4 linked regions of the Struthio camelus genome follow. The protein of the gene in region 2 purifies or fractionates together with the protein of the main gene of each other region. This does not show direct contact. Links are inferred from orthologs where the notes say so. Each region holds a gene or a part of one and is shown on either strand. Other genes may lie near its edges. The genes, in order: EXOSC2, UPF1, RBM8A and MOV10.

Evidence for each region.
Region 1: the proteins of UPF1 (region 2) and EXOSC2 purify together in Homo sapiens (affinity purification with western blotting; 3 studies listed by BioGRID and IntAct, with this or other methods). This does not show direct contact. The link is inferred for Struthio camelus from reciprocal best matches to the Homo sapiens genes UPF1 and EXOSC2.
Region 3: the proteins of UPF1 (region 2) and RBM8A purify together in Homo sapiens (co-immunoprecipitation; 7 studies listed by BioGRID and IntAct, with this or other methods). This does not show direct contact. The link is inferred for Struthio camelus from reciprocal best matches to the Homo sapiens genes UPF1 and RBM8A.
Region 4: the proteins of UPF1 (region 2) and MOV10 purify together in Homo sapiens (affinity purification with mass spectrometry; 3 studies listed by BioGRID and IntAct, with this or other methods). This does not show direct contact. The link is inferred for Struthio camelus from reciprocal best matches to the Homo sapiens genes UPF1 and MOV10.

Annotation. Positions count from the first base shown.
Region 1 is NC_090961.1:6,313,791-6,321,559, forward strand, and holds the start of EXOSC2 (exosome complex component RRP4), read right to left. Parts: upstream 3,010-7,769; 5' UTR 2,948-3,009; coding exon 2,823-2,947; intron 2,707-2,822; coding exon 2,605-2,706; intron 2,515-2,604; coding exon 2,469-2,514; intron 1,822-2,468; coding exon 1,732-1,821; intron 1,383-1,731; coding exon 1,317-1,382; intron 1,142-1,316; coding exon 1,073-1,141; intron 1-1,072. Other genes in the region: PRDM12 (PR domain zinc finger protein 12), read right to left, coding at 5,394-5,776, 6,839-6,950. UniProt on the Homo sapiens protein: Non-catalytic component of the RNA exosome complex which has 3'->5' exoribonuclease activity and participates in a multitude of cellular RNA processing and degradation events.
Region 2 is NC_090967.1:6,070,950-6,078,941, reverse strand, and holds the start of UPF1 (regulator of nonsense transcripts 1), read right to left. Parts: upstream 3,026-7,992; 5' UTR 2,884-3,025; coding exon 2,659-2,883; intron 1-2,658. UniProt on the Homo sapiens protein: RNA-dependent helicase required for nonsense-mediated decay (NMD) of aberrant mRNAs containing premature stop codons and modulates the expression level of normal mRNAs.
Region 3 is NC_090971.1:3,081,790-3,089,276, forward strand, and holds the start of RBM8A (RNA-binding protein 8A), read right to left. Parts: upstream 3,161-7,487; 5' UTR 2,781-3,160; coding exon 2,549-2,780; intron 2,045-2,548; coding exon 1,985-2,044; intron 1,422-1,984; coding exon 1,344-1,421; intron 942-1,343; coding exon 805-941; intron 569-804; coding exon 432-568; intron 1-431.
Region 4 is NC_090965.1:9,496,692-9,503,907, forward strand, and holds the start of MOV10 (helicase MOV-10), read left to right. Parts: upstream 1-4,185; 5' UTR 4,186-4,283; coding exon 4,284-4,417; intron 4,418-4,905; exon of another isoform or gene 4,906-5,138; intron 5,139-6,086; coding exon 6,087-6,183; intron 6,184-6,288; coding exon 6,289-6,416; intron 6,417-6,557; coding exon 6,558-6,796; intron 6,797-6,911; coding exon 6,912-7,152; intron 7,153-7,216.

The sequences.
Region 1 (7,769 bases), on a different chromosome or scaffold from region 2:
GAGAATTAGCTAATGTCTGTGCAGCCCTTTGAAGATGAAGAATACTCTGAGTTCTTAGCACAAATGTTAATAATATCTTGATCGTAACTACACATCAACCATCCCTGCAGAAAAATGAAGAGTGAGAGGCCCAATTTAGCAGAACGCTTTCCCTTTTAATCCAATAGCTGTCCTTCACCCTTTGTGCAATAAGCACATTTCGCTTTCATCTTTTAAGCGCTAATACCTTTGGTCCGGTAATCCCAAACTGCAGCCTACGCTCCAACGGCCCCTTGGCTTATTACAATGCGCAAAACCAGAGATAAATGCCAACTGCATAAAGCCTAAAATAGAGCCCTGGGGAGAGAAACAAGTTATAAAGGCAATGGCCTGCAGAAGAGGAGTTAGCAAGTTTGAGCCAGAAGTTTTTTCTCCTCAGGGTTCAATTCCCAAAGGGTTAGTGGGGGAAACAGGACTCGCAGCCTGTAGTTGTGGACAAGGAGGGCTGTGGTTCAAAGGGCAGCTCAAGGGTATTCCCTTTGCACTGGGGAACTCCAATCTGTTTTCCCATGTGGGGGCTACGATCCTTCCTAACTTGTAGGGATGGGTTCTAACAACACCCTGCTTTACCCCAGAGCTTTTTCTCTTAAAAAAAACAAAACAAAACACACACACACACACACACACACAAACACACACACACAGAGCAACCTCTCACAAAAGGCCTAATCCTGCTGCTACTCTGATATAAAGCCAAAGAAATTCTACTGACTTGGGTGGAGTTGTGCTGTATTTAGGAAGGGCCTGGCCTTCAGCCGCAGGACCACCAACCTAGGAGGAACTGTCTGACGGGCTACGTATTATCCTTCATCAGAGCACTCTCCAAAGGGACCTTCTCTCTCCTCCCTGCCCTTCTCACATCCCATTTCTTGCAGCAGGGAGATGACATCCCAGAAAGAGCTCTGATCTGCTTCAAGCTCCAATCCATTGCAGGTTTGGAAGTCTAAACCATACTCAGCAGCAGCGTAGACACTCCCTTACAAGTCAACTGGAGCAGAATTAAGCCAAAACTAAGTGCTTTTGAGCAACTTACCTTCCCGTATTTCAGACTTCGGGTGTGCAGTGACACAGCCCCATCAGAAAATACAGACTGGACTTCTGCCTGTCAATGCCACTTAAGGAAACAAGCTCCCTAATGCTACTCAGTGCCAACAGGAGTTGGCTGCTCACTGCCCAAAGGCAGAGAACTCTCATTATCAGTCTGGCTAGCTAAGGTCTAGCCATTCTCACCCATGCCCCTTGGGTCTTCTGCCTGAATGCAAGCAGTGGAAGGATACGCTGATGAGGTCTCCTTCCTGCAAATAGTCCCTCATTGCAAGCTCATCTTCTGCAGATCTCCTTCTCTGAAAAGCAGAATGGGAGAAAAATTACACGTGGCCCAGGATGGAAAAACGTCAAGTGATTCCCACACCGAGGGGACCACCTCCTTAGGATGGCACGCAAAACACAATCTTGGCAGCAAAGAAAAACGAGGTTCTGGTATTTAGGTCACTGTCCAAATAACACTAAGAGTTAAATAAAGATACCAGAGCACTACCGATGCACCTACAGGCAGAAACACCAATACTACCCCTGTGCTAACCGTGGGAAGGGCTCCAGAGCCTCCCAGCTTCTCGGTGCACAGCCCTCAGCTTCTGCTGTAAAAGCAGAACAAGAGAGGCTCTGGCACTGCTCTACATCAATTGCACTCACCAGTTCCCCACCAGGTAAATTCATAGATGACAGCAACAAGACTGAATCTAGCCTGGAGTTGGTTTCCACTTTCCATCGTTTCTGCTGAACCTGCAAAAGAAAAAACTCTGTTGATATATGCTCACAAAATGAACAAAAGCTCTTCACCAGAGAGGGAGGTCCTGCTGCCACTCAAGCCAGCAGCCCAGCACGAGGCAAGCTGCAGACCAACAAGCCACGCACGGTGATTGAACTGAACGGCCCATCCCACGATGGGTGCTCGTATCAGCGAGCTCACACTGTACAAGCACTGACACAGAGAGAGGCGAGAGCTGAGACAGCACTGTAGCCTACTTTTAGCCTCATCTTTTTTAAAATCCCAAATGTTAATAATATTAACATTTAATTGGTTAATGGTCCGTAATTAAAACCATGTATTTTCTCCTCAGTTCTTAGTCTTTTCCAGCATCCCGCAGACGGGAAGAGCTCAGACGCGCCAACTCCAACCCTGCAAAGCACTTAGTTGTCCTAATGCACGATGGCAAGTGCTGAAAAGCACAAATACTAATGTGCTTTTAGGAGCCTCAGAAACGCTCTGGAACAGACAGAGATACCTCAGTCTGGTGGACCGTCCTCCTCATCAGCAGCACTCTTGCCCTTCAAATATGAGCCAAGACTTAATTCCCACTTAACAGCGCGTCAGGAAAAACCGGAGTCACTAACGGGGAAGAGCAGCCGGGACCCTCTGTGAGCTTTACCTCAGTGATCCTCCCCACCACGATGTCGCCAACTTCACCGTTGTACCTGGGAGCAAGAGAGCGCGCGTTAGGGCAATCCTGTCTTGGCGGCGCCTTGGGGGCCACGCGCGCGACGAGGCCCGCCGGCCGCTCGCACCTGGTCTTCAGCGCTTTGACGTACACCAGCTTGTTCACCCTCTCCACGGCTCCGGCCACCGAGGCGATGAGCTTCTCCTCGCCCACGTAGGTGCCGTGGCCCCTGCGGAGAGAGCGGCCCTCAGCCGGGGGGGAGTCAGCCGCCAGAGCCCCCGGAGCGCCGCTGCCCTCAGCGAGCGGGGCCGACAGCCCCCGCCCGGCCCGGCCGGCTGCCCCCACCTCATGTAGCCCGTGTCCGTGGTGATGATGTCCCCCGGCGCCACCAGGTGCTTCTCGCCGCCCCGCGCCGCGCTCTGCCTCACCGCCTTGCGGGCCACCGGCAGCCGCATCGCTATCGCCGCCATGTTGGCTGCGGGCAACGCCGCGCCGCGCCGGCGCCCGCTTCCCACACGCGCCTTCCGCCCGCCATGCTGGTTGCTGGCAAGAGCGCGCGTGAGGCCAGGGCGCCGCCATCTTGGCTGAGGGCCGCGGGCGGCCGTCGGCGGCAGTAGCGGCTTCGTGTTGGGCGGCCATTTTGGTTGCTGGCAGAAAAAGACGGCGTGGGCTTCACCGCGTTGGGATCCAAAGGGAGAGAAGGGGGGCCATGTTTGGTGCGGGAAAGGTGGCTGCCCGCCTCCTCCACCTTAAGGGGCAGGCTGTGGGGCTGAGCGGGGAAGGCTGCCCCGCAGCCGGGCGCCCCCACCCCGCAGCAGGAGCTGTCCTCGGGGAGAGCTGTGGGGTCAAGGGCTGAGCGTGGGGCCGCCAGCCCCCAGCTGGGGTGGCCGCAGACCTCTCCTCCCGCCGGCGGCCCCGGCCCCCCGAGCCGAAGGGCCCTGCTGAGGGGCTGAGTTGCCCCCATCTCGCTGCCGGGTTGTACGTGCGACAGGGGAGGGTTGCATAACATTACTCCAAAAAAAAAAAATCACATCTCATAGATTTTTAAAAAAGAAAACCAAACAGTCGGCGCCTCTCATTGCCGAAGTCGCCCTCGGGCCCGGTGATCTTCCACCAGGCGACAAGGGCTCCTCCAGCCCCCCCGGGCTGGCCTGGAGGGGTGAGGAGTTTGGCAAAGCTGCGGCAACGGTCAATCACCTGCTTGCGTGGAAGTTTTATTCACTTCATTGGTTAGACCCTCGGAGCTGCTGGGAAAATACCAAGGGAAAAGAAGCCCGTGATGACCTTTAGGACTGCGTCTCTTCCTCTGGGCCAAGATCAAACGTTATTCTTTCGAGCAAGACTTATATCTGTAGCCCGGCACAGAGGAAACATGGCCATTATTTCAGGGAAGACATCAACAGTTGTTGCTTCAAATAAAACGAGAAGATACTGGACCAAATAGTGCCATCCGTCTGGATTTAGGCTGAAGTTGCCGCTTCTCTTGCAGACCTGCAAAAGGGTTTCTGCATCCCAAAGCTCTCTTTCCTCTTCCCCAGCAGCACTGCTTGCTCTAGTAGATGAAACTACGCCCCCTTATTCGCCTTGTACGCGTCCAAACCGTCACGCGCCCTGACCACAGAGCAAAACAAAGCTCCCCAAACCATCCGTCTTCTAAATGATAAATGTTCCAAGTTATTTTTATTTAGAATACAAGAGAGAGGTACAAACGTATTTACACTGTGTACATATACGATCAAATAATATATAATATCAAAGTTTTGTAAATAATGTTTTACATAAATATTTACAAAGTTAAAGTGACAATTGTTTTCTTTTCTGGAAGTAAAACACAGTTTGTGAGAACTTTATACATCTTAGACTTATAATTAATATTAGAATACCTTCTTTTAAACTTTATGATACAAAGCCCTGCTCTCGCTTGTGGCAGGACTCCAGAGGGCGCTTAGAGTTGTCCTTGGGGACAGAGCTGGCCCAGGGACGGGCTTTCTCTGTCCCCAGAGGGCGGTAGAAGTAAATTTAAATGTTCCCGAAAGGCTGCAGGGAGCGATGGTCCCCGGGCTGGAGCAGGCACAGCCTGGCAGAGCGCAGAGAGACCCCCCAAGACCTGCCCGCGGATGGGGCATTCCCAGCTGGCACGTCCAGCCGGGGATGTCCCCACGGCCTCTGCCTCCAACGCCGCCGTCCAGAGGCGTCGGGGACGCCCGGCGCGCGGGCGGCAGGCGAGGAGGCCGAGCGCGGCTGGCGGGGACAAGGCGACCGACTGCTAAAGGAGGGCTCCCGCGGAGGCCGCGCTGGGGCTTGGCCATCTCTCCCTTGGGAAGAGCCCCCCGGGGCACAGCTGCCCCCCCGGGGGTAGACGGGCACCAACGCAATGGCCTGTATGGAGCTGTGCCAGCCGCTAAAGGGGGGGACGCGGCGCTGCTGGGCACTCGCTGGAGCAAGGGAGGAGAAGGGATAAGAGCAATTTTTCTTTCTGTCAAGTCAACTGTGAAACCCAGGTGTGACTCACCCCAGCTCAGCTTTTGGGCCGCCCCAGCCCTCCCCCAGTGCACTGGCCAATCCACAGGAGACATCCTGCTGTTTTCTGCCCCTCGGAGGCACGATCCCTTCGCCCGCTCCCAGGGACAAGGGACATCCCGCTGCCCTGCTCCCTGGGGAGCACCAAGCCCGGTGCGGCTGCACCCTGCAGAGCCGGGTGGGGGGATCTCTCGCTCACCGAACGGCCCCCCCAAACCCTGCGCGGACGGCGCTGCTCCAAAAATAAACCAATGCGCCCGTTCGGCACCCAAAGCAGCCCTGCCTCTGCCCCCCAGCTCCGCCAAGGGTCGACACCCCCCATCGCACCGCGCGTCTCAGCGCCGGGCTTGGCCCCTTGCCACCGGCTGTCCGCAAACCCGCCGCTGCGCCGGCGGCTCACAGCACCATGGTGGGGATGTGGTGGGCCAGGGAGGCGGGATGGGGCACGGGCAGGGCTGGCGAGTGGGCCTGCAGCGAGGCGTTGGGGGGCCGGTGGCGGGCGCTTTTCTGGTGGGCCCGGAGCCCGGCGAGCTGGGAGTAGGCACTTTGGCAAACCTGGCACTTGTAGGGGCGCTCGCCGGTGTGCAAGCGGACGTGGTTGCGGAGGGTGGAGGACTGGCTGAAGCGGCGGTTGCAGAAGCGGCACACGAAGGGCTTGTCCAGGGTGTGGATGCGCATGTGGGAGCGCAGGTTGCTGCGGGAGTTGAAGCCGCGGTGGCAGATCACGCAGCGCATGCGCCCCGTCGTGCTGGCGCCCGCCTCCACCGCGTGGAAGTCCTCTGGGGACGACAGAGCGCCGGACGGGGACCGTCAGGTGCTGCCCTCCGCCCCGGCTGTTCACTCCCTTCCCGAGCCCGAAATAACCACCCCGCGCCTCCTCCCTCGCTCCACCTGCCCGCTGGGGACGGCCACAGCGGCCCCATGAACGGAGACCCCCGCCCGCGACTCCAGGCTGATATTTACCGCTTTGGGATGTGGCCAGAGCTGGGAACGATCTCCTTAAATTTGGGGAAGGGGATTGCTCAGCCTGACCCCTGTCTCGCACGGAAGGGGCGCCCGCGGCGCCGTTCGCCTCCCTCTCCGTGCAGAGCCGGGGCAGACGAGCGCGGGAGCCGCAGTCGGGGCTGCTCAGCTCCCAAAGACTCTTTCTTCTCCCGCCCCGGGAGAGCTGGCGCCCGCTTCGCCCCCGGCTCTCTGCCCTGCTCTGCCGGGCTCTGGCCAGGGCTCGCGCCGAGCGGGGAGGAGGGCCGCGGGCGGAGGGGGCCCGGCTCCGAAAGCAGCGTCCCCCGCAGCGCCCTGGGAGCTCTGCGCCCGCCCGCCCAGGGGCACGTCGGGGAGCCGCCCCAGCCAGAGGGTCCCGGGGAGAGAAAGGCCTCCTGCCGGGGCGATTCGGGGGAAAAAGGGGTTGCGGCGTTGAGTGCCGAGCAGGGAAATCGGTGACTTTGTCCGCCTGGCGTTTCCCGGTGCCTTGGGGCTCCTTCCTTCCTGTTTGCACGCCTGCCCTGCTCCTCTCCCCGAAACCGTCCCTGCCGCACAGATATGCTCCCCACGGGCTGGGGCAGCGGGCTGCTGGCCACCGGACCACTAGTTGCCCTGGGCTAATCGGTTCACACGGAGCCCCTCAAATTACTAGGCACCTGCCCAATCTTTATGGATCCTTCGCAGGGGCTGGGCTCTGCTGCTGGATGGTCCCTGCGTTCGTCCCTACGGAGCCGGAGGGTCTCGTGCGTCCCCTGGGATGTCCCTGCCCCATGCCCACCCCTGCTCCCGGGGACGAAGGGAGCCGGGGGCAGAGGATGGGCACAGAAGCTGCACCCGTGGCCATTTCTGATGTTACCTACCGTGCTTGTTCTTCTTCTGCTCCTCTTCCAGCCCCGGCACGCCTGGGATGCCCAGGAAGGTGTTGTGGGAGTTTCCGTACCAGACCAGCAGCTCTTGGTCCGGAGGAATCATCTAGAGAGAGGGATACAGAGATGGGAGCGTCAGCGGGACGGCGAACGGCTCCCCACGCACCCTTGCCCCGTCCCTTTGCACCCACGCTCACCGCACCTCGCCTCCCGCAAGGTCTGTTGGTGTCTGGGACCTGCCAGAGGTGCCCGAGCACCCCCTGAGCCCTGAAGGCAATGACACAGGCAAACCACCGGCACAAACCTGCCCCTCGGTCACCCCCGTCCTGGGTGGCAAACGCTGCGGCTGGTGGAGGGGCAGCTACAGACCGCGCAGGCAGAGCCGGGGTCACCGGAGCAAAGGACCGAGAGGTCCCTGCTGCTTGGAGAGACGAGGACGTGGCAGTGCGCACAGAGACACGGAGGAATACGCAGCCCCGCGAGGGACAAGTGAGAGACGGCAGCAACAGAGACCGACGCAGGGAGCCACGACCCAGAAACCCGACTCGGTGCCTCGGCGGAGCGTTTCAGCCCCGAAAGGAGCAGTTGGCACCCGCTTGCTGTAGGACGTGGGCAGCATCTCCCACCCGACCCTGCTAGGGATCGTTTTAGCTAGGTTGTGCCTGCATTCGGGTGGAAGCGCGGCTGCATCAGCAAAGGGCTGGGTGAGCCCAGGGCGGGCGGAGGAGAGCTCGGCGGCTGCGGGAGACGCGGGGCGAGGCGGGCGACGCTGCCTGCACCCAAGCGCAGGCTCCTGCAACAGCTCAAACGCATCAGCAGGGTCAGGGAAAGCCTTTTGCACCGCTGCTGCTCCCATGTTTGTGAGCTGATCGTATTTCTGTTGTTTCTGTTACTTTCCTGCACCATCAAAGGCGTCGGGGCGGCT
Region 2 (7,992 bases):
AGTATTAAAATTGAACATATGAGTTGATTTGCCTAAACATGCCATATGTAAACAACAAAAATAACGTTTTCCAAAGAGAAACAGCAGAATTGCTTCTGCACTGTTATCTTCTCACTACCTTTTGTCAGTTGCATACTAATCTATTGCAACAACATCCTCTTAAACTATTAGTTAAATATATGTAGGGGAAGGAAGCCCCTTTAGAGTGGCTAAATCAATCACATTTTCTTAAGAAATTAGGTGCTCTGTCTTTCTCGACTAATCTTTTTAAACACCAGGACACTAAGAAGATATCAGAACATGGAACAGCAGGATAAAATGACACGTCTCCAGTGTTTATCAGCTTTGAATAATGATTATACATTTAATTAGCTTTAGTTATATTACAGTAACAAAAATTAACTGAGAAAAAATGAATGCGATCAATTTTCAGGCCTTTGAAGTTGCATTTTTAGCATCTTCCCTGTCAAAAGACACGACAAGTTTACATATTCAAAGTAACAAAATATTCTCCACAATCTTTAAAAATATATAACTTCTGATCTTATAACAGATGAGACTGTTGAAATGTACAAGCCTAAACAGATAGAGGGATTTGTTTTTTGGCAGTTACTGTCACAATAGGTCCGTTCCCCTCTCCCCAGCATATAACTTCTGGCATCAAGATGAGCATCAGAAAGATTCTGCAAAAAGCACCTTAAGAGTATTCAGTTTGACAAAAAGAAAAAAGGAAAGGAAGAAAAAAATGCACCATTCTTTCCCCTTGGCAGGATGGCTATCGACTTCTTAATACCTGAATGTGCTCTCTATGCTTTTTTTTTTTTTTTTCCCATTTTACTTCAAAGGCTTTTCAAACATGTTTAGACAAAAAAAATCCTCTAGTCTGGTCTTTTAGCATAAGTTTATTTGGGTTTTTTTTTTTTTTGTTCTTCTGGCTTGTAGTTCTCTACCATGAGTTCTGGAAAGATCACAACCGATTAAAGCTTTGAAAATTAAGACGACTTTATTAAAGCTACCTTTTCAACCAATTAATATATATGCTGACTGCATACAGACACACAGATTTTATCAATATTTAATAATTGTGATGCCTGAATTCTCAAATAGGAAAAATGTTTACCTTGCCAAATCTAAATCTGAGTTGTTAATTATTATAAAATAAAACAACAAACAGCCCACGGGGTCACATCTCTAATTCCACCTTTGGGTACAGACATAAGCATGCGAACCTGGAGCAAGTCACACCATAGCAGCTACACCCAGGGTGTACGCTAAGCATCTGAAAACACAAGACAATCAATCAATTCATCCTGGGATACATCTGCTATGGCAGGATAATACCACTTTTAGCCTTGCACCGCACACCTGTAGATCTTCAATACCTGGACAGCTTGACCTGTTTTAAGTTTGCTCACTTGTATATCCACAGCTATATCATTTATGGAACCCCATACATCAGTCAGTATTTGCAAGTAAGAGGAAAAAATCAAAAACCATCCAAACTGTGTTTTGGTTCAGGATTAAGAACTTTTATCTACAGTATTTCAACTCATCTTTAAAGTCATGCTTTAAAACATGGATAATTTATAATCATTTCATCATTAACAATAGAACTACATAAGTGTTTACCTAGATGCAATAAAACTTATCAGTACATTCCACGATCTTCACATGGAGAGCCTAGTTTCACTTTTTTTAAAAATATGGAACAGTTTCTCAGGTTTTTTTGTTACGTACACCGCCAAGGTGTGGCACAGAGACAGACAGCATTCTCATTTAGAACACTTCTTGGCATGCGAGTATATAACCGCAGTTCCCTTTTTGCTTTCACTTCTGTAAGGCCACTACTGTCAAATAACAAACTCATCTACCAACCAACATCAGACTATATAAAAAAATACTCATTTTTAAGCTATCAGGAAACAGACCTCTGAATTGGAGCATAAGGCCATATTGCTTGTTGCTCCCATATCCCATACCAACCCAAAACAAACGAGCTTAGCAACTGTGCAGGAGGAAAGGTGGCAAAGAGTAAGGATAAAAATAATAATTAAAAAAAAAACACGCATCTATTGGTCTCAGTCAGAGAAAGGAATAAATTAAAGGGAGTAACAGTGAATTTCCACAGGTGCAGTATCCAACTTTTGGAAAAGCAAGTACTACCTGTAATTATATTTGTTTTAAAGACGGAAACAAGCCGCGACCACATCCTGAAGCATCTCCGATGTCTTACTTCGGCATCGCACCGAAAAGCGACGCGCCTGTCCCGATCCAACAGAGAGGGCCGCTGGCTTTACCAGCGGAAGAGAGACCGCAAGTTTTTAGCCTCGGCGCCCTCTCCCTCCGTTCCCAGGGAAGGAAGAAAAGCCCACGGGTTTCAGGCCCGTGTGTCCCCCCCCACCCCCCCGGCTGCCGGCTCGGGGAGGGCAGCCAGCGCCGGGCCGCCCGCTCCGCGGCCGGGAGCCTCCTCTGCGCGGGTCAGCATCACGCCGCTTCCACTTTCCCGTCCGGAGCGCCCAGCCCGCTCAGGGCTTCCCCTCGCCGGCCCCACGGCCGGGCCCGCCCGCCCCTTCCGGACCCCCCCCACCTCCCTCCTCCGCTTCCCCGGTGGCGGAGACGCCCTGACCCCCCCCCCCCCGGCCACCAACGCGGTCTCACCTGTGCCTCGATGGGTCCCGGCGGCCCCTGCCCCGCTCCGGGGGGTCCTTGGCCCTGCCCCGGCCCCGCCTGCCCGGGCCCGGGCGGGGTTTGGGTCTGGCTGGGGAGGGTGAAGTCGGTGAACTCGAACTCGGAGCCCTGCGTGTCGGCGCCGAGCAGCTCGGCCTCCTCGGTGTCCAGGAAGGTGAGGGTTTGCGAGCTGGGGCCGTACGCCTCCACGCTCATGGCGGCGGCGGCGGCGTCGAGAAGCGGCGCTTCTCCCCCCCCCCCAAAAAAAAAAACGCGAGCCCGTGCCCGAGGCCGAGCCCGGCCGGGCCTCACCTCAGCGAGCCCGGGCGCCGCGCTACGCGAGCGGCAGGATCCGCCGCGCGCACCAGGCCGCGCGCGCGCGCGCCAGCCGGCCGGCCACCAACGAACCCGCCGCCGGGGCGGCCGAGCCAACGGCGGAGGGGGGGGGGGGGAAAGGAAGGCGGGCGGGGGGGGGGACGCGGCCGAAGGAGGCGGGGGGGAGGGGGAAGCGGGCGGGCCCCGCCACAGAACCGAGCCCCGAGGCGCTGGGAGCGGAACCGTCCGGCCGCCGCCGCCGCCGCTGCTGCCGCCGCCGCCGCCGCGCGCCAGGCCAGGAGCGGTGACGCGCAGCGCACGGAGGGACGACGACGCCAGCACGCCCCGTACGCGTGGGAGGGGTGACGTAGCACGCACACACCTGGGGAGGGCAGGCGAGGGGGCGGGGCTCCGGCGGAAGGCGCGAAGGGGCTCGCGCCGCGCCGCGCGGGGGAGGCGCCGCCAGCCACCTGGCGGGCGGGGGGCGCTGCCCCTTTTCCCCCCGCTCAACTCCTTCCCCCCGCCCGCGGCGGCGCGTAGGGGGCGGGGCTTACTCCTTGACTGACGGCCCTGACAGCCAATGGGCCCTCGAGCTGAGGAGGAAGGGCGGGCTGTATGGGAGGGGGGGCGCTGTGGGAGCCTTTGGCCCCTGTGGCGGCCGTTGGCCCCTGTGGTGGCGGTTGGCGCCTGTGACGGCAAGGGGTTTCGGGGGGGGGGGAGGTGGTTATCGGCCCTTGTGGAGGCGACGGGAGCGGGAGGGGGGGAGCTATGGTGGTGGCCGGCCCCTGTGGTTGCGGGGGGGCTGCGGAGGTGGCCGGCCCCTGTGGAGGCAGCGGCCTCTGTGGTGGTGGGGGAGGGGAGGGGGACTGTGGTGGTGCACGGCCCGTGTAAGGGTAAGCCATGGGGGGGGCTCGTGGTGGTGTTTGCCCCTGTGGAGGCAACGTGGGGTCCTTCACCCCCTCGTCCTCGCCGGGAGCTGCTAGCACCTTTTCTACGGCCTCCTTACCTCATGTCCCCCGTTTGAAATGAGTGCGTTGAGTCACGCAGAGAGCAGGTAGGAGAGTTGTGTGGGGGGGCTTGAGGTCTGTTTTGAGACAGACGTGATGATTAAGAAGGCTCCACTGTTATAATAATATCTGCTCTAGCTGTAATACCTATTATACTCGTAATAGTCATAATTTAACAGTGTAAAAATAGTCAGAAAGCTGAGTTGCCACAGGGTGGGGGTAATGGAGTGGGCCATGGAAATTCCTCCAGGTCGAGGAAGGTGAATGACTGGGCTCTGCAGAGGAGGTGAGTATCACGTGTTGCTACCCATAAATAAAGAGAAAATTTGAGTGCCCTCATTTCAACATCCTTTTATTAGAACAAAGCATCTTTTTTTGAGATAACTTCTGTGTTGTGAAAAACATTGACGCGAAAAGTTAGATATTCAATCCGTTTTCCCTACTAAAGACTTCATTTGACAACTGTAAGATGCAAATATGTACTGCCTTTTTGTAAGTAACTTTAATTTTGTTCTTGCTGTTGGTGTAGGATAAAGCCTGGAACCAAAACAATATGTGGGACCAGATTTGCAGCTGTTAAGCCGAAAAGATGTAGCTGAAGACAGAAGAATATCCTTGTCCTGGGAATATTGTGCACCAAATTGGGGGAAAAAGCAAGTAGAGTTAGTTATCATTTTTCACACACTGACTGTTTGAATTCCTCTTTAGCTTTAAGCCTCTGTGAAGAAGGAGACTACACCAATAGCTTATTATAAAAGTATCCTAATTCAAGATTCAGGTTAAAGTAGATTAATCAAACAAACGACTAAAACCAAAAGGCAGAATGAAAAATTGATTCTGGAATTATGACTGCCGCATTAGCTGCTATTTTGCACAGTGATATCAAGATAAGTCATACATAATTTCACCAGTGTTACAGGACAGTCCGAATGTTTAGGCTCTTTGATTCCTGAAGGTGAAATACAGCTGAATTAAGTACCACCTATAATCTCATTGGAAAGCATTCAGAGGATGAACCAAATTGGTATTTCCATAAAGCAAACTGGAAATTAACTGTTTTGTAGTTTAGGGAAAAGTACAACTGTGAGAAAATAATAAATCCTACTTTAGGATGAAAGCAGAATTGAGGAAGAAATTTATAAAATCAGGTAGGCCGTTTAGTACAGACACTTGTTTATGAATAAACAAAACATACTTCAACTTTTGGCTGGTTTACAGAATCCTCAAAAGTTTTGGACACCGATCAAAGTTTTGATGTGTTGCTAATGGCTGCCTGGATTTTTTCCCCCTGTCCTCTGCATAATACGGAAAATAAGAATGTTTTCAAACAGACTTTAGTTGGAAAACATATAGAAAGTTGCAGGTCCTGCGCTCATAGTGCCATCAGAAGCTGAACTCAGTTTGTGATACGGAAGCACCAGCGACGTAAGCTGTGTCCTCCGACAGAATCGCGCTGCTGTCTAAGGTGCTGAAATTGGAGGGCTGCAAAGAGGTTCTGTGGATCCCCTACCCCCCAGGAGGTTCAGTTTCCCTGTTACACAGGTAAAAAGTAAAACCATAGTGAGTCAGGTGTGGAAAGCCTATAGTTCACTCTGATATGTTTCAACAAGGGCAAGCTAGATTAGACTGGTAATTAGTCGTGGCCGTTAGGCTCCCGGTTGTGTTTGTACCAATATAGAGGCATGACTTCTGGAGAGGCTGCATCTGTATCTCATGGCATAATTGTTTGATCATAGTTTACTGCATGCGAGAAACTCTGTGGACTACTCTGGTGTATTTTGAGGTAAAAAATGTATGCAGGCTGCACTACAAAGCTTCCTGGACAACATTTGTTTCTGTGAGCTGTGTTTTATCTAATGTTCTTGTGAAAGTTTTATCTTTTAAGTATGGGCTCATGTAGCGGGATGGCCACTCTGAGTCATTGGTCTTTACTACTGCGTGCCCAATATGAAATCTAAAAAGGTAACGCTCTGGAAAATGAGAACACAATCTCTGAGAAAATTATGATGTTTTACCATTTTTATACATGGATAGAAGCTAGAATTTGCAGGGCATACTTAGTCATAAAAAGCTGTCCGAGAGAACAGATTTGGATGAATTTAAAGAGGATACTTTTTGCTTGCTTCCATAAGCAAGAAAGTTTAAGTTGTTTATCTTGAAGAGGTGAAAGTAAAGGTTCTTCTTGATTGTAAGTGTTGAAATGATGTGTACTGCAGTTTAGCCATTGATAGAAATAATTCAATCCTGTCTCAGAATAGTTAGCTGTGCCAAAGGATTTTCCTTGAAACTCATTTCAATTCCAAGACACACTCGCATCAGGATTTGCTAACTGCACAAGAGAAGAGTGAAAAAAAACCTGTTATGAAAAAGAATGAACTGATTGGTCTCTGCAAACTCCAAGCCTTGGAGATAGTGTTAGGAGGTGTCATGATGACGGGAAGGGTTCAGAGCCAATCAAACTGGGTGTGAAAAATCTTTGCAGAGCTGCTACTTTAAATGGCAGGGTTGGCTTAAAAAAATCAAGTATTTTTATCCTGGAATAAAACATCCCAGGTTAGGGGACAATACGTATAAAGTACACGTTTGCCTTATCTGATATCTCTCAGGTGGAGATCCCATGTTCTTGATAAAGAATTCATAAGGAACACTCACACACTGCACAGCTGATGGTGATTTCTATACAATAAGTACTGTGATTTTGCAATACATTAACATATTATAGAACTATAAATGTAATCAGTAAATTTATTATGCATATTTAATCACTTTACCTTCTTACCAGTTTTGTCGCTTCACATTTGCATTTTAGCATCTATTTATTTTTTCTTTTTGGTTTCGTATTCATGAAACTCTCATTAGTTTAAAAGTTCTTCTCTCTCTGTTCTTCCTTTTGTTTGCCTCTCTCCTAAAACAAATCTTCAAGTGAAAATCCCTTGGAGTTTTACCTAGCCTGACTGCTAGGAAATGGAAGAGCAGAGGATACTTTAAAAAAAAACAAAAAAGCAAAAACCTATTTCCTTGTCAGAATATACTGAGAAGTTTTCAATATCAAAGAATCTTGAAAGAGAAAATCTTTTAATGAAAAAAGCACCAAAAATGCAGCAACAAAGCAAAAATTTTGGAAGACAGTAAACTAGCCATTCCATTGCAGATGTTACACTTCTGCTCAGTCACCACAAGAGGGACATAGAAGGAAAGCTAACATAGCGTTGGAAAAGATTCATAGCAACATATATTTCCTTTTGTTTGGAAAGGTCTTCTGGGATCATAACATTTTGATAGCTTCCTTCATCCCAAATAATCTCTAGAAAGCTTCCTGGACTTTAGAAAATGTGATAATAAGTATTAATAGCTAAAATGGATCTTTTCCCAGAACTTCATAATCTTTTCTGACCTTTTTCCTGCTGGAATGTCTGTAGTAGTGTTGGGATAGGGAGTGTTTGGGCTGCCTGTATTTTTGTTCCATCTCTAGCTATTGGACCAACAAATATTGGAGCATTTAATAGGCACTGGACAAGAAGATTGTGGAGCTATTTTTGTTTACTTGTATTTGATTTTCATGAACTAATGGCTGACGATGCAAATATAATGACAGAACTCATATAAATGCCTTCATGAAATAAGAGGACCATAAAAAAACCCTAAGTAGATGTTGAAAGGTTTATTGGACTCTTGTGGAATTAGAAAGCACAATCCTAATATGCACTAGATCGAAGGTAACGCAGCATGCACATTTAAGCACATGCAGTCTATGAATCCCTAACGTCGGTAAAGCTTTACTTCCAGCCATGATAAAACAAAGGCATCACTAGTTGGGCGTTCTGCTTTGTTTGAGCCAATGATATATTAAGAAGAGTTCTGGGAGAAAGGGTTGCTTTGAGTAAGGTGGAACTAAAGTGTTTTTTTTAATTATAATTAAAATTAATCAGTCCTTAATGCTTACATTTCTATAAGTGTTTTAGCATATCATTAAAAGGTATCTATCAAGTGCCATTGGATTGGA
Region 3 (7,487 bases), on a different chromosome or scaffold from region 2:
TATAGATATTTATAGACCACGCGACGGTTTCGGTCCAAGATCACTGCCTGTTTCACAGCACTTCTCTACCACGCAGACGAGCTGGTCCCTGGCACGCCAAGGTCACGCTGACGACCGTGCGCGACGGTGGCTCAGCCCAAGTTTGCAGCGTTTTTCACAGCAAAGTCAGCCAGCTCCGCCAGAACTAACGTTTGTGCTACCAAACGCTCTGGGGCATTCACCTCCCACCTTCCCCGGATCCACAGGTCTCCAGCCCCGGCCAGGGCTCGTGAACATTGTGACATTTCCACCAGCAGCTCAGCCTCATCCCTGCTCTCCCTTGTCTGCCTCAGCAGGGCAAAGGAGCTGCAGCTGAACCCTTCCTCCCATGCGGCTATCCAGAGAAAACCTCATTCTGGCTTAACACGGTCAAAAAGCACAGACCCTCTTACCTTCTCTTTCCTTTTGGGGGTCCTCTTACAAAACACCAATCCACGCTGATGGGCTGCCCCATTAGCTCCTGGCCGTTCAGCCCCTCCATGGCTGCCTGAGCCTCTTTATAGGTTTCGTACTCAACAAGAGTATATCCCTAAGGGTGGGAGGGAGCAAAAGTAAGTGAGATCCCGGGCAGAGGGGAAGCAGGGAGCCCAGCGAGAGGCTGGACGTTTGAGAAACCCCTCCCTGAGCTTGTCTTGCTGTTCAGGCAGCATTGCGGCACCCGACAGTAGCGCTGGGGAAAAGGAAATTGTGTTCGCGTCCCTATGTGCGGCCGCTGAAGCGGCTGAGATGGTTCAAGGCCAGCCCAACCTGCGCATCCCCTCCTACCTTCAGGTAGCCCGTCCGTCTGTCGAGGTTCAGGTGGATGTTTTTTATCTCGCCGTACTCCGCAAACTTGTCGTGAATGTCCTCTTCAGTGGCCTCCTCGTGAACCCCCGTGACAAACAGAATCCAGCCCTCGACCGCTGCAGCGCACCGGGAAAAGCGGCAATCGTTACACCGAACGCAGGGTGCTCTCCCACCTCTGCGGTGCGAACGTGAGACACCTCAGGAAGGGGCCTCCCACGAGAGCCAGCCCCTGGAGTGGCTGGAAATCCCTGGGCGCGTTGTGGCTAAGCACAACACAGAATGAGCCACACACGGGTGGAAAAGGGAGCTGGCGTCCCAGAGAGCAACCTCTTGGCTTAGCCCAAGACAGAGGCCGGAGAGGCAGGGAAAGGCTCAGCCCCAGCAAGGTCTGAATCCTGATACGCAGCCAAGTAACGGCCCCACGTTTCCCCACCATCTCCCCGAAAACAACACATCGTCTCCCTCCTCTAAAGCGCCCGGAGTCAGGGCTGGGACGGGTGCCTCCTGCAGGTACTCACAGCGCTGTGGGCCTGGCTCATCCCCATCTTGTTCCACGCTGTCGTAATCCTCGCGCACCCTGGCCCTCGAGCCTTCCTCTGGACACGCAACAGAAGGGGAGGAAAGAGAGGTGGGTGACCGCTGCCATCGCTCAGGAGTGCAGTAGGACACAGACAACCTTTAAGGACTCCCCGAGAACGCTGAAACAGCCAGGTTTGAAGCCAGCTCCTCTGTACGGGCAGGACAAGGCCACCGGCCTGCGCACGCAGCCCTGAGAAGTCCTCTCCCTTCTGCGGGAGGGAACAGCAAGGCCAGCCAGATTTGGGTTGTGCTTTGGCAAAGCGATCCTGCTCCCAGCAGACGCTACATTCCTGTACAAAGCTCCTGCTCTGATCCCACTCTCCAAACCGCCCTAAACGGGCTCTGAAACGTCACGACACACAAACCACTGATCCAGTGCACCCAGCAGGAGGGATCTGCCTGCCAGGGACCTCGGCCGAGCGATTCCAGGGTGAGCGTTTAGCTGAAATCGGGAAACCGAGGCCTGAGAGGGGAAGGGGCCGAGAACGCTGGAAAGCAGCGGCCAACGCCAGGGTCCCGCGGGCAGGCGCTGCCCGCCGGAGGGCGGGAAGGAGGGTAGAGCCGTACCGCCGCCGCTCACCTGAGCCGAAGCCTCGGCCTTTCCTCTTCTTGGCCTTCTCCTTCAGCTTGTGGATGCTTTCTGTGAAGGAGAGGGGCGGGAGTGAGGAAAGGCACCCGCGATCGGGTCGGAACCGGGGCGGGGAGGGGGGACCCGGGGCCAGGCTGGTTCTGAGCTCCGGGCTGGGCACTGAGACAGGGGACGGGACCCAAACGGGGCCCCGGGCTGCGCTGGTCCCCAGGTCCGGGCTGGGCATCGGTGAGGCGGGACAGGACCCGATCTGGGGCCCTGCGACAGGCTGGTCCCCGAGTCCGGGCTGGGCACCGACATGGGGGAACGGGACCCGAACCGGGGCCGGTGCGGGGGGACCCGACTGAGAGCAGGGCCCGCAGGGAGGGGGCCTAGGACTGGCCGCGGGGCGGGGGGAGCCCACGGGGGAACCTGGCCCTGAACCAGGACCGGACAGGGGACAGGGCCCCGCCGTTACAGGGCCCCCTGAGCAGGCCCGAGGGAAGGAAACAGCGGCCCGGGAGCCGGCCGGACCGGCCGGTGGCACCAGGCAGGTAGGGACCGCCCTGCCCTCACCGTCGCCATCCTCGTCCATGGCGAAGTCCTCGCCGCCCGCCTCATGTAGGTCCAGCACGTCCGCCATCTTGCCGCTCTCCCCGCCGCCACTGCCGCGCTGCACGCCGGGAAGCGGGGCGGAAGCACTACCCAGCCCTGCCGGGCGCCGCCATGTTAGGGAGGACGCGCGGCGGAAGCGCCCGCGGCGCCATCTTGGTGAGGTCGGCGTTTCTTGCCCGGCCGTGGACGCCATGTCGGGAAGGGAGGGGGGGGGGTTGTCGTGCCCCCCCCCCAGCAGGCCCACGCTGGAGGCCGCTTGCCCCGGGGCAAGGCCCGGGGGTGGCGGGGGCGAGCTCCGACGCTGACCCCGCACCCACCTGCTTAAACCGTTCACGGTTCTTTGCAGGGGCAGGTAACATTTCAGGGAGGCGGGGGGCCGCCTGCTTCTCCCCACCGCCTCGCTGCTCAGTACAACGTGAAGCAAAGTTATTTTTTTGGCCTGGTTTCCCAGGGGAAACGGGGCTTCCACCAGCACGCAGCGCGCACATCCGCGCCTCTGGCCGTCCTCCTGCCGGCGGCTTTCGAGCCCCCGGGGGACCTGGCTCCGGCAGACGAAGCTTGGCCGACCTTTGCGAGGAGGAGAGGCTATCCCCGCAGGTACCGGGGAAGGGCTGCGGCCCGAGCTCAGCCCTCCCGAGACCGACTAGCGCCCAAACTGCAGAAAAGAAAGAAAAAGAGGACAAAGAAGAGCTCCTGCTCTGGGGGCAAACGTGCCCTTTGCTGTGCAGTTCCTACAACCCTGGAAAGGCAGCAGAAGGGCAGAGCTGGTGGGACATGGAGGGGACCCCATGGGTGGAAAGGATGAGGTTTAAAAAAAAAAAAAAAAGAGCCTTAAGAGCCTTAAATTGTCCCAAGCCACCAGCTCCCTCCAGCGGGGAAAGCTAAGGCAAGGCTGGCCGGGGAAGCACCTCTTGTGCAGAGCAAAATCAGCTTCCAACAGCGGAGGCCGCTTCTGTCGCCAGCTGCTAAGGCCAGGCCTGCCTGGCTTCCGCCCCAGAGTAACAGACCATAAACCACTTTCACAAGCAGAAGAAAAAGCTGGAATTAAACGAGGACAAACACCGCTTTAGCGAGAAACAGCACGTCGCCCGTGCGCTTCTGGGGTGGAAACTGCAAACGCTTGTTTGTCCCGGTGTACGAACTGCCGCCTAGGAAAGATGCAAATGACAAGTCAGTGGCAGGATTTGCCGTTTCTGCCTTTCAAAACGGGAGAGAAACCACCACAGCTACCCCAAAAATCTATAGCTTTATTGTATAAAATTATACATACAAAATGCAATGATGTACTGAAAGTTATGACATACATGGAAAAAGGCAGGGACGGCACGTGAAAGGTGATTTATCATTTTAGCTTTGGATTTAACCCTATAGCATGAAGAAGGAAGACAACAAGATTTTGGACACTGAAAAAGCCAGGATGTTAATCCTGCTGCTGCTGCCTCGGGTTAGATTGAAGGCCAGTCCCCCTGCCCCCTCCCTCGGGATTTGGGAAAACAACGTTTCGAGAGTATAAAGTTGTAATTGGAACAAAAGAAAACAGTTTTATACACTTGCTGCTATTTAATATAAAACTGCCCAGACGCCTGCCTAGGCTTAGTGTTGTTCTAACCCCCAAAAGAAGGGGGAAGGCAGTGACACCCACCAACTATGCAGGCTTCGTGTATGGGTACGTTCAGATGACAGAGGCTTAGCTGGTTTCGTTCAGTACGAGGCAGGCTCTGCAGCCACAACTACTTAAAACAAGCTCGATGGCTTCCGCAGGAAAGATGGGACAAGTAGCTGAAGTAAGAAAGCCCAGAAAGCTTTCCTCGTCCCTAGGGCAGGGGCGTTATCACCCTGCAAGTAGATCAGGGGACTAAAAACCAGCCTCGGTTTTGCCAAAACAAAAGTACTGGTGTATCAGGTTTTCATTGTACCTTCCCTTCTGCCAGGACGTCCCATTTTGCAGACTTGGGCCTTGACAGTGGAAACAACATAATCCTCCTAGATTCGTTTAAGAACGGCTGCTGGCAGTAGTAAGGCATCTGAAACAGCTTGTGTACAGTTCAGCGCTGCAGGACAGAGGAGAGTTACGGAGACAAGCTTTGCTAAAACCATTAAGATCCCTACATGCAAAACACTCGTAAGCACTGCAAACAGCAGCTCGTGCAACTTCTGCTACACCAAGAGTCCTAACACGTAGGGCACAGACGCTGCTCGGCAAGAACTCCTCCTCCCCAAGGAAGTCTCCAGGGGGAGTTTGATTGTTAAGGTGCTGCTACGTACGTTTAAGTAAAGGAATTTCTAACTGACAGGGCCTTGTACTGCAAAGGAGAAGGCAGTATTAATTCAAACAGGGTGCCTGAAAGCAATCCTAGATCCAAACTCCCTGCTGCACCCAGCTGTAGTCAGGGAGAAGGGGCTGTACGATGTTTCCTCAACGAGCACCAGGATTCTTACGGCAAGACTGCACCAGCTCTGGCCCACTGATCTTTACAGCTCTAAATGACCTTCTTCAACTTGCAAAATCCAAGTGGGCCATAAGGATTCCAAATTAGCCAAGAACTGGATGTCTCACAACTTCTTCATGCCAGGGGGCTTTTCTATTGGGTCACGTTTTCCATCTCATGCTGCTAGAGAGGCGAGAAGTAACTAGGATAAGATGGCAAACCCCGGTCTGTAATGCAGAGGAAAACACTGATGCAGGTCCAAGCAACTTGAAAGCCTGGAGATGTATGGTTGGGTGCCGATGCTGCTTACACCATCTGCTCAAAAAGTGAAGTTTCTTAAGAGTTTCCATATTTGCAAGAGCAGGCTGTTAGATAAATCACCATTTCACATGACGTACTGTAACACTATACACAGGTGTGGAAGTGCTAATAGGAAGATGTTAGACTCCACACTATTTCTAGAGCGGGTGATTAAATCCAAATACAAGGTCCAGATATTACCAACCTGTAAAACAAACAAACAAACAAAAAAAACCCAAACAAAAAAACTCCACACCATTTACAATCACATTTATAAACGCATTAAACATTAATACTGTTGTGTAAAAAGGCTGCATATAAAAAATATATAAAAACAAAATAGGCTTGTTAGGACAAGAATACAAAACTAGAATGCCTACAGATAACGCACTTTTCTTGATCTTCATTTCAAAACAAGACTATTGCTTGAATATCCACGTGCCTCTACGTTCACAGTAAGAGGCTGCTTCAGAGAAAGGAGAGGGTTGAGGGGTGGTCATCTATGGCAATAGCAAAAGCTACCCGTCAGATTCCCAAAGGCTTTGCACCTCTACCCAAAGTATAGTCATGGGGCGGGGGGAGTATAAGGGGGGAAGGACCAGAGAAAGGTCAAAGCTGAATACTGTGTTGAAGAAAGAAGTCTGTCTTCAATTTATAGTCCCACTGAGACATTGCTGACTCTTCTGGGCTATATATTAGAAAAGTAGGAAGCGATACAAGAATTACCTTGAACAAATCACTACTTTCTCGGACTGTGAATTTGAGCTACAGGAACACAAGTGTCAGGAAGAGTATTTTTAATCTAAACATCATACAGATTTAGTACTGATATGTATACAAAGAGCAGGGAACTATTCATTTAAAAAAATAGTGCATATAGAAGTTCTCAACTCAGCAGTGTTTTGTTCCAACACCACTACTGAAAAGAACGGAGCAAGCTCCAAAGCAGGGAGCCTCCAGCTCCAAGAGAAGCACAGCTCTTACACTCGCTTTCTCTCCCATTCTGCTGTGTGAGGCTACGCTATATAAACGCTACAGGCCAGAGGTGCCAAACCTATAGCCCACACCTTCATTTTATACAATCTAGTGATTCCCTTCCTCCCACACCAAGTTCGCAGTGGGTAACATTAAGGTGTGCTCTGTGTGATCTACTGAAGACACCTGCAGAGCTCCTCAGCCCTCTGCTAAGCAGCAGCTCTCTGATCCACCAGTAATCCTAAGAATTGCCCCTGCCAACTATTTCTTGGGAGCTAGGCTGCGGAGAGCGCTGCGTGCTGTAAATTAAGCACAGTCCCTCTTGGCACAAGGGTAAGACCCCTTTACTCTGGCTGGTAGAAGCAATGCAAAGTTGAGGCCAAGCCCCCCCATTTGCGCTTTTGCTGCTGGGGCTGGGTAGAGCCTGTGTTCTGGTTCAAAGGATTAAATACAGTTCTGGTTAACAAAGACTTGTATATACAAGGCTCTTCAGGGAGAGAGGCTGCACAGCTCCCCCCTGTTATTGCTCGCTAAGTCTGAAACTCTGGCAAGGCTCTTAAAATCTTCCTCGAAAAGGCCAAGTCTGACATTCGGTTTGGAAGTTACCCTGGAGAGAACAGCGTGTCCATCTCTTATTTCTTGCACGACTTTCAAAAACCCTCATCTCCCTGGGTTAGCTGGGGAAGCCAAACAACTCCAAGGCTTGATTTCTAGCTGGGTAAACCGGCCATTTCATACCACCACCAACTGCTAGCGCTTGGGACAGCCCTTTAGCATCTCCATCCTCCTAGACTGGGTGAAACACTGTAAGAACCCAAAGAGGACTGAAAAAGAGCATAGCAGGAGAATTTGTCTGGTGCAGACTAATTAACTGCTAGACCAATCCCTTAAGTATCACAGGGTTTTATAGCTTGCCATTAGGTGTATTGTTTACTTTGGGAATGAACTATGTCTTACCCTACGAGTGAAAGACCAGAGCAGGAACAGATCCAGACACCTGACAGTTGTAGGGGTAACCGTGAATCCTGCCTGAGACTGAACTGGAATTTTGTACACTGATCCCCAGACTTAAGTCTGACTAAACCAAAATCCCAGCTTTAAACCCCTTTTACGTGCTTTGGAGTATTCCCCAATGCAGCTTGCACTGTAGAGTTAAAAAGAATGCTTATTATTACTGTGCTTATCAAGAAGGAGTT
Region 4 (7,216 bases), on a different chromosome or scaffold from region 2:
ATGGAGATTAAAAATGCAAATGTCTACAGAAAAATAGGTATGTTGTGCTTTAATGCTTTGTGGCAGGTTCCTAGAATTTGTATCACAGGTGTATGAATGAATAGTGTACAAAATGATAAATAAACTTGCACCAAAGCAAGAGAAAAAACCTTTCCATTTTGTCTCTATTGTGGCCAGTTTCTTCTTACACTTAATGGGGATGCTGGGCTTAATCTCTTCACTGCTCTCTAAAAGCTTGCTCTGTTGCTTTGTTTGTCTGTAAAAGCAAGAGAAACTGCTTCAGACTGCTACTTTTAACAGGAGGTTGGAGGGGCACGTGGATACTTTCTCAGTCAGAACTCAAAACGTGAATTCACTGTAAGATGAAGCCCCTGTGGTTAATTCACTTTGCTTTGTTTACATTTGTTTCTCACTTGGCCTTTTTGCAGGTTGCTTTTTAAATTGGGTGGTGTCTTCCTATTTTTACATACACAAGGAAGGGGGATTGGAAAGATAGGGGTGGGGCTGCTTGTGCATTACACTTTAGGTTTTGCACAGTAATACCACAATATAAGCGTGTCAGTGTTCTGAGAAATTTTGTCCGAATGTTTGTATTTGCTGTTAAGACTGACCGTTCATCCTACAGGCATCCTCTGTATCAAATAGTCTAGTAGAAATACACCAGTCTTTGTTTTAAAGCCATTTGTGTCTGTCCTTTTTGGTCTCACTTCTGTAGATTCCTGATCACGGTAGAACTGCAGGTGATATCATAAGCAGCCTGAAAGTTGGAATGGTACTGCTTGCAAAGTTACACTTAAGTTAAAAGTAAAAATAGTCACGTGGCTCCAATCATGACACGCTTGACCCTGGGAAAACACAGCAGACAAGGTTACTTCACTAATCATGTATATCTCATTATAGCACCTACATAGCTTCATAGCGTTTAACAACTTGAGTAAAAAAGTAACTGCTGGATACATCCTATGTCAGGGGCATTGGACAAAGCAAGACTTGTCCTGTTCTGGTCAGTTTTGCACACTGCTGTGCTAAGAGCGCTACTCAGGCTAGTGCTTCTGCCACTGGATGTTTGTAAAAAGTATTTCCTCCCTGCTATTCCTAGAAGAAATGAAACACTATGAACATGAGCACCTAAGCAGCTGTAGTCTATGTGGCTACAGTCCCATCCAGACAAGCATTGCAGCAATTCCAGGAATGTGAGACTGAAGCAGGGCCCAAGATAAAAGCTCTGTTGTGCGCACACAGTGTTATCTTCCAGCACTGCCTAAGCCACAAGGCTAGTCTTTCCTTGCTCCAAGTTAGTTGCACTGCACATAGTTCCCACCACTTGTTCCAACCTTAAGACAGTCTCTCTCTCTTCTCCTTTCTCTGAATCTTTAGCTAATCATTCTTTAGGGCCAACTCATTCCCTGTTACCTCCTCACCTTTCTCCTGTATTGTCCTTTGCTACAGCAAAGGCTCCGGTGATCTAGCTGATCCTAGCTCCGGTGATCTAGCTGATCCTAGCTCCGGTGATCTAGCTGATCCTAGCTCCGGTGATCTAGCTGATCCTAGCTCCGGTGATCTAGCTGATCCTAGCTCCTCCCCAGCTCCTATTTCTTCCTTGGAGAAACAAAACTTGACACAGCCCAGTTACTGCCACATTACACAAAGACATTACACAAGTGCAAGCGGTGACACATACCTAAGGCATTTTAATCTTTAGAATCTTCAGCTATTCTCTGCTTGAAATCAGAAGTTTTACATAGGAGTAAAGCCAGCTAGAGAACAATATATGTTCTGGGCTGGTCTTGCCAAGGTGTACCAAAGCCAATGCCTTTTTTAAACAGGCAGCATGAACCCAGTTCTGTTACAGTGCAAAGGCATGGTAATTTGACTGACTCAAGGAAGCTGAGTGAAACATAGCTTTCCCATCCCAGTCCTGGGGAAAGGATCCCTGCTGGCCCCAAGGACATCCACTGGGCTACCCAGTTGACTGCAATGATAAGAGCTCCTCTATCTGCTTGCAAGAGCAAAGCTTAAAGTTCCAAGACTCCACCTGTAATGTGTGACATATACAGAGGAGAAAGTGATTTTGTAAACTCCAGAGGCTGCAAAACACAGAGTTTTTAAATAAGTACACAGAACACTAGAACAGGACTCAGATGCCCATGTTATTTTCCTACCTATGCCCCATTTTCTACAGCCCCTAGATAGGATAGTGATCCTGACTTCTTTTGTAAAGCACTCCGAGAGCTGATGAAGGAGCAAAAGGGCCTTGGAGTTTATTGCTGCTTTTCTAGCTTGCACATACAAGGCTGAAAATCAGGTTTAACTACAAACACCATCTTTCAGAAAAAAAAGCAACTCATGCAGAGGAAGTCACATGCAGGTTATTTGAGTCTCAGCACTCAAACTCATAGCACACCCTTGCCCAGGGTACAGGCAGTGGTTTCAGAAGCAGCTTAGAGCCCTCACACCACCTGCAAGGGGGTCACACACCACCACAGCCTGCTGAGCCTCTTCCAGACAGCAGCAGGACAGCAGTAGTGCTTCAGTCAGAGGAAAAGCCCACTGGAACTAAAGCAGTAAAAATAACAAACTTACCTCAACATCCTTCAGCTACAGGCAAGCCAAAAATCAACCCATTAAGTAGCACTGCAGGCAATCCCAGGGCCTTCAGCCACTTCACAGAAGCAGGTCAGAGACCACCATCCACACTGAGCAGGCTGGAGATTTAAAGCACAGGAAATCAGGGCAGAGCCAAACATAGAAAGCAGCTTTTGCCACTGCTGCCCTATTTATAGGGCAGCAGCGTGGTGCTCTGGGAGCTCTTATCCCTCATTATTGGCTACAGCAATGCAATGCACCTGGGCACCATGTCTCCAGCCAGTAAGAAGCCTCAGCAGCTGCTTTGAGCTTGCAGTGCCTAGTTGCCCTCCCTAGGGACAATTAGTGCCACGGCTCTAGGCCCAAGCTGACCAAATAACCTAGACTTTGACACTTGGCAGCTCTGCTTTCCCAGGTCCCTGCAAACACTTCTCAGCTTGGGCCTGCGTCTATTACTTTTTGAGTAGCCCCAAGAGCAGGGAGGATGTGAACCCCTGCAGGTAGCCCAGCTCCCTGGGGCATGCCAGCCTGCCCCAGCCCCCTCTGCGTGCTGCCGGGGCAGTTCACGTCAGAGGTGAATCTCCCAGCTGGATTCCTCTGTTCACGCTCCGGAACAGGGGACCCGTGGCTGGCCTGGGAGCAGGGAGCCCCCAGAGCGATGGGACCGGGCTGCCAGGCATGGGGAACCCCCGGAGCAGGGGGGTCTGGGCGTGGGGAGCCCCCGGAGCGGGGGGGACCGGGCTGCTGGGCGTGGGGAACCCCTGGAGCGGGGGGGTCTGGGCGTGGGGAACCCCTGGAGCGGGGGGGACCGGGCTGCTGGGCGTGGGGAACCCCCGGAGCAGGGGGGACCGGGCATGGGGAGCCCCTGGAGCGGGGGGGGACCGGGCTGCTGGGCGTGGGGAACCCCTGGAGCGGGGGGGACCGGGCTGCTGGGCGTGGGGAACCCCTGGAGCGGGGGGGGACTGGGCTGCTGGGCGTGGGGAGCCCCCGGAGTGGGGGGGACCGGGCGTGGGGAGCCCCCAGAGCGGGGGGGGACCGGGCTGCTGGGCGTGGGGAACCCCTGGAGCGGGGGGGGACCGGGCTGCCGGGCGTGGGGAACCCCTGGAGCGGGGGGCACCGGGCTGCTGGGCGTGGGGAACCCCTGGAGCGGGGGGGGACTGGGCTGCTGGGAGTGGGGAGCCCCCGGAGCGGGGCGGACCGGGCGTGGGGAGCCCCCAGAGCGGGGGGGGACCGGGCTGCCGGGCGCGGGGAGCCCCCGGAGCGGGGGGGACCGGGCGTGGGGAGCCCCCAGAGCGGGGGGGGACCGGGCTGCTGGGCGTGGGGAGCCCCCGGAGCGGGGGGGGACCGGGCGTGGGGAGCCCCCAGAGCGGGGGGGGGGCCGGGCTGCCGGGCGCGGGGAGCCCCCGGAGCGGGGGGGGCCGGGCTGCCGGGCGCGGGGAGCCCCCGGAGCGGGGGGCGATGCCCGGGGCGGGGCGCGGGCTGCAGGGCTCGGCGGAGCCCCCGGAGCCGGGGCGCGGGGCCGGCTCAGCCCAGCCCCGCCGGGGCGGGCGGCTCGCCGGGCGCACGGCCCCTTTCGCTTTCGTTTCTCCCCGCCGAGCCGCCCGGCTCAGCCCAGCGCAGCGCAGCCCGACCCGGCCCGGCCCGGCCCAGCGGAGTCCAGCCCGGCCCGGCCCGGCTCAGCCCAGCCCGGCCCGGCCATGCCGCGGTGCAGCGTGGCGGAGGCGAGGCGCTGCGGGGAGCAGTTCGTGCGGTTCCTGCGGGACACGGGCCGGGAGCAGGAGAGCCAGCGCGACACGCTGCGGAGCATCTACACCCAGGAGTTTCGGGCCAGGTGAGAGCCCCGGGCCGGTCCCCCCGGGGCGGCCCCAGCAGCATCGCCCCGTCCCCGACCAGCGCTGCCCAGTCCCCAGCCAGCCTCACCTGCCTCTCCCCAGCAGCGATGCCCCTTTTCCAGCCGGCATCTTCTGTTCCCCCCCTCAGCAGAGTCGCCCAGTCCCCTGCCAGCATCCTCTGCCTCCCCCCAGCAGCATCGCTGAGTTCCCAGCCAGCATCACCCAGCTCCCCCGGCCAGCATTGCCCCGTCCGCAGCCAGCATCGCCGGGGCCAGGATCTCAGGCGTGGGGCTGGCTCTCTGGGCCTGAGGATACCCCCAGGGGAGCAAGCTGGGCTTGCGGAGACTCTCCTTGGTCACTGTCTGGGTGGGATGGAGCAGCATGTGCTCCCTGAGCAGCAAGGAACCAACTGGACTTGTTAAACTCAAAACCCAGTAGCTTTACACTCTCTGGGCATGGGAAAACAGCGTGATGCCAGTGGGGCTACCTGTCTCCTGCTGGGCTGCAGATGCAGGGAGCATCAGAGCAGTCCCCTCCGAACACGGGCCCTGCGTGCCATCCAAGCCCCCGTGCCTTGCTGCGGCTCCGTTGGGACCGTCCTCGGCCACAGGAATCCCGGGCAGGGCTCCCCAGCCAGCGCCCCGGCAGCCGCGGGGGCACAGCCGCCGGCACCCGCTGCCTAGGCTCCCCCCGCCGGCACCGGCCACGCTGGCCCAGAGCAGGGCCCTGTGCAATGTCACTGCTGTTAATCATTGGCCAAGTCTGGGTGCAAACAGCCAGAAGGTCATAGGGATGTGCTCTGCGGCCCGGAGGAAATGTCATGGGGAGGCAGCTCTCCTGCCAGGGTCAGGAAGTGGCAAGTCAGTGCCTTAGAGACACTGTCGATCTGCGGCGGGCGCCTCGGAGCGTGGGCTTGGCCAGGAGCAGCCAAAGCAGTTTCTCTGCCGGATGCCCCCTGCGCAGGCTCAGCCCTGGGCCCGGACCCCGCTGAGTCGTCCCTGCCCCTCCAGGACATCCTTGTACCTCCAGGGTCTGGGGACAGTGCCACGTCCCTGCCCCGCTGCCACCTGTACACAGGCAAGTGCAGAGGCTGCACGCCCCAGTGGGGCCAGGCAGGGACTCTGCGGGATAGCTGGGACAGCCACGGCACAGCTGGAAGGGCCGTGACACAGCTGGAACAGGCACAGCACAGCTGGACGGCGGCAGCACAGCTGGAACGGCATCCGAGCAGCCTGCCCGGGGCCTCAGCTTCACCTATGGCATCCAGAAACGCCTACGCTGCCAGGCCGGGGCCCTGCAGCACCCACCCCAGCTGTTCGCAGTTGTACCGTGGAGTTGCCTGGGGCTTTGTGCCCTTCCAGCCCGACCCCTGCTTGCCCGTGGCAAGCCCTGTTTGCAAAGGGACCCACAAGCCTCTAGGTAGCATGAGGTTTGCTAGACAGGCAATCCCACAAAACTCAAGCCAAACGTGGTGGAAAAGCTTGTGAGCCATAGCAGCCTGAGGGGGTGCAAGTTTTGAGCGGGACCAGTGCAAAAGCCCCCGTCCTTTTCCCTCCCGCAGAGTGGAGGGGACTGGTTGGAGCACCCTCGCGCAGCCTGTGCCGCCCCGACTTCGCCCCTCGCTGCTCTTCCCCTGCGCCGAAACGCTCTCTCCCTCTTACCGTGCAGGACTGACACAAAGATGCCCAGTTTCTCCAGCATCTTGTACGCCCTGAAGGTGAACCACCGTGCCCAGGTGCACAGGACATCTGTGCACTTCAAGGAGGTAAGGGAGGCCGTGGGCCCGGCAGCGCGGCGGTTCCCGCGGGAGCGCGGACACGTGCCGAGGGCCCTGCTCCCGCGGCCGCGCTGATGCGGCTGCTCCTTGCAGGAGAAGAGGAGAGTGGTGGTGGCGGACCAGTACCGGAGACCCCGAGCGGACGCAGAGCCGTCAGCATCGGCTGCCGGCCAGCAGCCCGGCTCTGGCCCACGTGCCCCCAAGGGCCGTGCCAAGGAGCGGTACGAACCTGGCGCCCCGCGGGTCCCGGGGCCGCCCGCGCCTCCCCGAGCGGTGGCCAGGAGGGAGCTGCGCCGGGCTGGACCCGGCGGGCTCCGGCGCCCGCTCCGCGCCGCGGAGAGGCTGATCCCCCCCACCCGCAGGGCCGAGTTCATCCTTGGGAAGCACGGGATAGAGATCGTCTCGGAGCACGACCAGGGGGACGGGCACATCCGCTTCCACGTGCCTCTCGGCGAGCCCTGGACGGCCGCCGTCCGGGTGCAGAACGGCGGGGAGGAGCCCGTGACGCTGCTGCGGTGCCGGCCCCTCCGGCCGCAGCAGGAGTTCTCCTTCTCGGACGAGCACGGCGCGACGCAAGGCCAGCCCCTGGTGCTGCACCCGGGTAAGGGGCGGTAGCCCTCGTCCGCCCGCTCGACGCGCTCCTGCGCGGCGGCGGCCGCGGCCCGGGAGGAGGCGCAGGGTGCAGGCCCCTCCGCTCCCACCTCTTTGCGTTGCAGGCAGCACGTACCCCATCCAGGTGCGGTGCCTGACCGCGTTCAACGGCTGCTTCCTCGTCACCCTGGTGTTCGAGTTCACCAAGGAGCCGGATGAGCCCTTCAGCATCGGGCGCTTCCTCTCCGCCACCGCCGAGACCCAGCTGGCCAAGGAGCTGGGGCCCTCGGCACCCTACGAGCCCTACCAGGCCAGCCTCCGGCGGCCGGTCACGGTCGTCACCGAGGACGGGACCCCCCCCGAGAGGTACAGCCCGGCTGGGGCAGAGCCCGCAGCTGCTTGGGCCACAGTTTTGCAGCACCCCGGGCCG